2 linked regions of the Coturnix japonica genome follow. The protein of the gene in region 2 purifies or fractionates together with the protein of the main gene of each other region. This does not show direct contact. Links are inferred from orthologs where the notes say so. Each region holds a gene or a part of one and is shown on either strand. Other genes may lie near its edges.

Evidence for each region. The genes of interacting proteins can lie anywhere in the genome.
Region 1: the proteins of STX7 (region 2) and NAPG purify together in Homo sapiens (affinity purification with mass spectrometry; 3 studies listed by BioGRID and IntAct, counting the BioPlex papers as one, with this or other methods). This does not show direct contact. The link is inferred for Coturnix japonica from reciprocal best matches to the Homo sapiens genes STX7 and NAPG.

What each region holds. Positions count from the first base shown.
Region 1 is NC_029517.1:88,353,813-88,357,467, forward strand, and holds part of NAPG (gamma-soluble NSF attachment protein), read right to left. Parts: intron 3,306-3,655; coding exon 3,227-3,305; intron 2,536-3,226; coding exon 2,456-2,535; intron 1,060-2,455; coding exon 930-1,059; intron 233-929; coding exon 83-232; 3' UTR 1-82. UniProt on the Homo sapiens protein: Required for vesicular transport between the endoplasmic reticulum and the Golgi apparatus.
Region 2 is NC_029518.1:51,543,007-51,546,661, forward strand, and holds part of STX7 (syntaxin-7), read left to right. Parts: intron 1-359; coding exon 360-429; intron 430-2,097; coding exon 2,098-2,188; intron 2,189-3,655. UniProt on the Homo sapiens protein: May be involved in protein trafficking from the plasma membrane to the early endosome (EE) as well as in homotypic fusion of endocytic organelles. Mediates the endocytic trafficking from early endosomes to late endosomes and lysosomes.

The DNA.
Region 1 (3,655 bases), on a different chromosome or scaffold from region 2:
TGAAGCTCTGGTAAATCTGGTACCTTTGGATATGCTCAGCATCACAAATACATTGGATATTTAACATAACATAGGTTTGCAGCTAGCACAGTCCACCAGAATATTCATCTTCTTCCTCATCAGCATGAGAGCCCACTGTGGCTGGTCCTCTTGTTTTATCTTGTGTAGCATTTGGAGATTTCTTCTTGATTCCACCTCCCGGGACCACCAAGGTAAGACCAAGCTTGGCATACTAATAATAAAAATACAAGTTTACTTTCTGTACTATTACATTCAGCACAGAAAACAGATAGATGCAGCTTTCAGAGTATATTTATAATAAGAATAATAAAGATTAGAATATCCCCTGTGTTCAATATCTACTTTACTTTATGGCTTTCCTATCCTTGTACTTCCTGCTTATTAGTTAAAAGTGCGATCATTAAAAAAAAATATGGACTTCTTAAAATGGAAAAACTTTCCGTAACTAATGATTTGCTAGAGAATAAGCATAAAAAGAAAAACAAGCCAACATCAAACAAAGCCATCACATTCATTTTGTAATGCTTATGCACACATAGCACCAAATTGGTATTTATGAGATAAAACAAAGTTCCGGCCCTATGAAGAACCAATGAAAAGCAAACTGTGTTTTGGTCAATTAGACTCTTCAGACTGATAACAAACTGCTAGTTTACTTAGGCCTTCCCACCATAAGAATGTAACAGCAGTGTCAGACTACAGAAGTCAGGCAGTAAAGTAAAATAAATAAATAAATAAATAATAAATAAATAAATGTAAAGTTCACAAGATAAGATTACCAAGCAAGTCACAAAAAATACATAGATCCTTCTCTCCTTATTTTCCTAGAGTAGAAAAAAAGTCTCTCAAACTGAGCAAGCAAAAACTACCACAAAATTACAAATAATCTGCAAGAACCGCCTACTTACATCATTGTCCATGTATTTGAAGAGAGGCAAGTTACAGACTTCAGAAACTTGATCCTGATCTTGCTGATCATATCCTTCCAGAAGTTGCTCTAGTGCTGCACAGTCTTCACTTCCATTAAATCCAGGTATACTGAAGGAAATTAACAGCTCATTTAAGACATTTCAGCAATCTACTTGGTGCTCAGGTGGAACACAGATCATATCCATAAGCTTCAACTTCCAGCAACACTAGATTGCTGAGAATCAGACCACAATCCTATGAAGAGTATTAGAATTTTTCTATTTTTCCTGACTAGTCAATAAGATTTTCTTCCAATTGATATGCAGGAAAAAAAATATGTAATCAGTTTCTATATAAAATACAGACTGAAGACATAGAAAATATGACCAAGATGTTTCAAGACAGATCTTCAAAAAATTGCTTTGAAAAATAATGATTTAACTTAGATATCTGATCAAGTCACTTCACTTAAAACATAGTTTAAGTAAAAACATCATGTTTCAGTATTTTGTTACTGAAGTCCTAATGAAAGCTGAAACAAGAGACCTGCATGAAAGCCTCTGGAGTTTGTGGCTAGGAACATTAATCCAGACTTGACATCAGAAATTTCTCTTGGATGTATGAGGACTATGTTGTTCAATCCCTTCTATCAAAACGGATCAGTTCTTACTTTCTAAATCATCTTCCAGTTCAGACAACTATTAATGAAAAAATGCAAAAATAAAGAAATCTTGCTTTTCTTTTAACATATGACAAGAGCAAGTTCTACATCAACATAACCAGAAATGCAGTAACTCCCATACTACACCTTTTTCTTTTGTTACAACAAACCTTTAGATGAATATTTTCCTCAGTCTAATTACCATAGTACACAGTTCCAATGATTGTACTAGGATGCTACTAATGAGCGTTAAAACTGCATTCCACATTTCCATTCACAAACTACAATGAAAAGTTAAAATTAGACATTTTTAAGGGCTTCAACAAGACAGAAAGGTTTTAATAATAATTACAATAAATCAGAACATCCAGAATTCCTCATTTTTAATCCCAACTATTTGTTTATGGACGTTTGGTGGCCCTGCCAGGCAGGGGGGTTGGGATTTCATGATCCTTGAGGTCCCTTCCAACCCAGGTCATTCTGTGATTCTGTTTACAACAGGCAGCCCACTTCTGCTCCATTTGAAAGAGACATACAAAAGAATTCTAACCACAAGAGTATTCCTCTCAGCTTTTAACAAGGAAAAAACAGAAAGAACTTCTAATCTGCATCTCATTTCATCTGTTGCTCTGAAGTGCTTCTTTATGACTGACTTTATCACATGCTAATTACTGCTGAACCCACTACTGAAAGAGTGAAAAAATCTCCTGACAGCTGGCTACCTAACGGACAACGCTATTGTACTTCAAGTAAACAGACTTGGAGGCTCAGAACTTATTGACAGAGGTTTCCTTTGGTTTTTCATAATAGTTCTATATTAATGAAACAGTCAGCTTGAGATTTTAAAATATGAGGCAGACTTACCTATAGCTTTCCCTCACACACCTTTCTGCAGCAACATAATCATTTCTGTGAAGGTGAACTAAGACTTGAGCAATAGTTTTCTAAACAAAACAAGAAACACAGAGGGGAAAAAAACATAAAACAGATTCAATTTTAGAATGAAATTAAGACAGTTGGAACTACACTATGATAAAGTAGTAAGCCCCAAATCTTCAGCTGGTATGAAACAGTTTACCTCCTCTAACGCTGTAATGAACTCTTGCATCAAACTTGCTCGTGCTTTTTTCCTTATGTGATTTCCTACACAAGTCATATGTTGATTACAAACTCAAAACAATCAAAAATTCTTATTTAGGACACAAAGTAATTATTTCTACTAAGAATCCTGAATAAATGACATCAAGGTAAATGCAGATGAGAAGACAATCCTTGTGAAAGAAAAAAGCAATATAAAAACATCCACAATTCTCACCCATCCAGTTTCAAAATAAATCAACTCACATTCCAGAAGAGAAAACTGGGCTTATTCAAATTAATTTGAAGGCTTGTATAGCAATTATTATAATTCAGTATTTTTGATAGCTTCCACAGATAAATGGCATCCTATCAACATTATAGCAGTGAAAAACAAGAGGTCAAGGAAGCATGAACAACCACACATTCTCCTTATCTGGCAATCAATGTATCTCTGAATCAAGAGGTACATGATGTCAGACAGAATTCAGCCACTACTTTATGTTAGTTCAGAAAACCTTGAAATATCCCACCAGAAATTATCATTTAGATTTTTACCTTATAGCATGTTGGATAATTTTCAATTTCCTTATAAATACTTTTTTCCTTTTGAAGGGACAATGCAGCCTCATCCAATCTAAATTGAAACAAAAACAAGGAGTACCAGTGCCAGGAAACAAAAATAATGAACCCAGAGCTCATAGTGAGCTGTTTAATACACATGTGAGTTTTCCTTAATAAGAAGCAACATAGCTAAAATCAGCTGCAGATCTTAATAACAGCAGTTATATATAAGGTCAGCAATCCCTTTTACATACATGAAGGCTAACATCATGTTCGGTATTAATTCAGACCCAGCTTTTCACAACATCATACAAGATACATGCTTCATAACACACTCTGATAGATTCCTGTATGTCATGAAGTTGCTGTAAGTCCAATGTCTAGGAAGTACCAATGGAAATCATAGTAACTGTTTTCTAGTTT
Region 2 (3,655 bases):
AGTGCTTTTAATTTACTGTATTATAATAGAAAGGCCTAATTTATACTTACTGAATTAAAATGCTAGCCTTTTAATTGTCTGTTTCTGCTTAGATACTTGAATATATTCCCATCCTTTGTAAGAAACCCTGGGTTTTGTCTTTAAGTTGGCAAAAATATTTACAAATTGTTCTTTAATGTTTCAGTGAATCTTCTCAGTTGATATAAAAAATAAAAAGTTTATATATATATATATATATATGTTCAATATCATTTTCTGTCAATTTTTATTGTTTTAGAATTGCTAAGCTAAAAATCATAAACTTATGTTGGAAATGTCTGCGCACTATTAAACTTTCTCTTCTTCCTCTTCACAAACAGCTGCTGAAATACAGAGAATACTCAGTCAGCTTGGAACACCACAAGACACACATGAGTTGAGGCAACAGCTGTGAGTATTTCACATGAAAATATTTAATTTCATTGCATTGCAGACAGTTTCCAGGGATATGATTAGATATGGGTTGTTTGGTTTTTTCTTAGGCAAGGTGCTTGTCCTCACTGAGAAAGGCAGGTATAGGGAAATATTTGAAATTTACACGTTGAGGTGCCTTTTTTTATTCTTATTTAATTTTGAATACTTTTGGTGCACTGGTCAGGTGGCATGAACGCATGCGTTGCCTACAGTATCAATATATGTACAAAATTTTTGCTGTATGTTAGCTAAGGGAAAGCAACAAGACTAAAAAGCAATGTTGTTGTTCAGTATCTCTCCACTTCTCAGCGCAGTCTGATGAACCAGTAATATTATTATTTTCTTTTTTAAATCAGCCTCCTTTACCAGATAAAATTCAGCAGCATAAAAGCAAATAACCATTGTGTTGTGCTAACCCTATGGATGGGAAAGTTGCCAATCATTACTGTGGCTATTGCTGCATATAGTTGGAATAAAAAGAAAATGAGTAGCAGGAGGAAATATGTATTGAACCAAAGGCATTATATTGTATCATATATGTATATATATGTATATGATATGTATATATCATATTGTGTGAACAACCAGCTTGCTTCATAATAACCTGAGCTTGGAGCTCATAACAATAGCCAGGTACAACCCACAGTGGATGTCCTGCTGGAGATCGAATGCATAAAGATCAACATATGTGAGTTATGCAGTAGCAGGCAAGATCTAAGCATAATTTCAAAACTAAAAGGACTAGAAACTGCTGTGAATTATAGTCCATTTAGGAAAGTGCTAACATGATAAGTTTCCTTGAGGTTTTCATCTATGGTCATTTCACTGGTCTGAACGTTTTGCCCTTCCCTTCATGTAATGAAGTTGTCTGGGAGAGTTATTTGATTGCTTTCAAGTATTTATGTTGATTTTTGCGAACTGCTTTCCAGTCTGGGAAAGCAGGTAAAAAAAACTTGAGTTACTCCAGGAAAAAAAAAAAAAAAAAAAAAAAAAAAAAAAAAAAAGTGAAATTCATAATGAAAGTGTGTGGTAATAGCAGAAGTGAAAAGAAACATAAAGTGCAAGTAGAAATGATGCTGAACACAAGGCTTTTTAAAGCACAATTTAAGTTTTTAAGCAATTAATTAAACTTTCCTGTTAAGTTCACAGCTGTTGTGTCATGGGAGAATACAAATCTCTGGGTATGCTTCCCAATGACTATCAGGAATTGGCTTTTCATGGATTATGTTCATGGAGTTATATTCAGGTCCAGTGTTCTTCCATACAGGAAAAAACTGTGTCCTTTATACAGTTATTCTGAACTTCTTTAACAAAATAAGAGCCTGAAAAAGATGATGGAAAAGCATCTTTAGTTATTCACAGTAATTGGAACCCTGTTGCTGTGCATTAGGGAAACAATTACAATATTGCAAAAAGAAAAAAGTGGGAAAGGTAAGTAGCTGTGCTGTCACACTGAGAAACATTCCCTCAGTGTCCATGTCACCTGGAATCCACGGTGATCTGTTATGATTTTGCACTGAAGAACAGTAGAAGGATGGCATCATGCAGTTCAGTGAGTGTTTAATACCACTGTGTTTCTGAGAACTGGTAAAACTCCAACAAAATTAGCCAGCGGTCTCTAATGAAACTTTGCATTGTTTTTAGGCAACAGAAACAGCAGTACACAAACCAGCTTGCCAAAGAAACTGACAAATACATTAAAGAGTTTGGATCTTTGCCTGCAACAAGTGAACAGGTATAAAACCAAAGAATATGGCTTAAAGTTTGATTATCATGTTGGCTCATATAGAGTATTTGAGAGACTTCAGTTCTGCATGCCCAGTTTTTGTATCCTTCATCTGGCTTTCAAAGCACTGTTTGGTCACTGAGGACATTTGCATAGTAGGGGCAATTACAACACAGTATGTTTTGCTGTATTCCAGACTTGTTTCAAATATGTTTTTAAATATCCGAATTGAGTTTGACTGAGAAGGCAGGACTCAAGACAGTACATTGTGCCTGTGATTTCAGCTATCTGGGCACTCAGTAAACTGTAGCAGTGTTGCTGCTGAGTTTAACTCATCAGTTTTGAGTGCTTCCAGTGGTCAGGAATTACTGCCTACCTTAACCATGTGGCAGGTGATCAGATCTGTTTGCACAATGTCCAAATAATTTTTGCAGAGCAAGTCTGATCTGCATAACTCAAATGAGCAGATATGCTATGTCTTGTCCACAGGCTTTTCTTTTCTTAAGAGGGATGGACAAGAGCTGTTACTAGAACGATTTGTGCAGCCTCTGAGCTGCTTCATTCCCATATCTGTGAGAAAGACAGGCAGGAGCTTACATGCAAAGTAGCTGTTGTCATTAGCATGCTCTCAACTTTCATCCTTTGATTTCTTATAGTAACAAAATCCAGGACTTAGATAAGGGAAGAGCAATAGGACGCCAGAAAATATGAACACAGCTTATTGCCACTCAGACAATTTTTCTGATCTGTGACTTGTTAGCAAGGAGCGCTTAGGAAAATGAATTGTCCTGAAACACTCATTTCCAATGGCAGGCTGTGTTCCATGCATGCTCTGCCTGTTGTGAACTTCTGGTAGAGTTAGAGTTTGGTCTTACTATATAACCTCTGGTTGAGGCAAAGATGTTTTTTATTCTTTGTCTTGTTGCTGAAAAGTTGGCAGTGGGATATTTTGCTGTTTAATTCTAATCCTTTTATCATGAGCATTTTCATCAAACACAGCACTAGATGAAATACACAGATGTTGGGTTGATGAATGGCAAGTTATGGCCTCTCACAAATTTGGAAGGCAGGGTTGGTATAATGGATATATTTAGGGAAATAAAACTGAGGCTTTCTGATGTGCCTGATATAGCCATTCCTTCCTTGGCATCTTCCTCAAAAAAGTAAAAATAAAAAGACTCGAAAGTTAGAGTAGCTATCTTCCTAACAGATTTTAAGGATTTGAAAGGGATGTGCGCCCACTTCTGGTTGCAGTTCAAAGTACATTTCCAGTGTTTATGTACAATACATGTGGAGAGCTTTGTCCCTGCTCATTTCTTATGCTTGAGCACTATTTCCCTCATTCATTCTGCTTTGCTCATTTTAGATTTCACAGCATCAAAATGTTTCACACTTAACCACAAAGTAAATTTAGTAATCAGGTATCCTTGTGTCAGTGTGTAGTACATTGTATATGACCTGCTCATTTCTCATTTT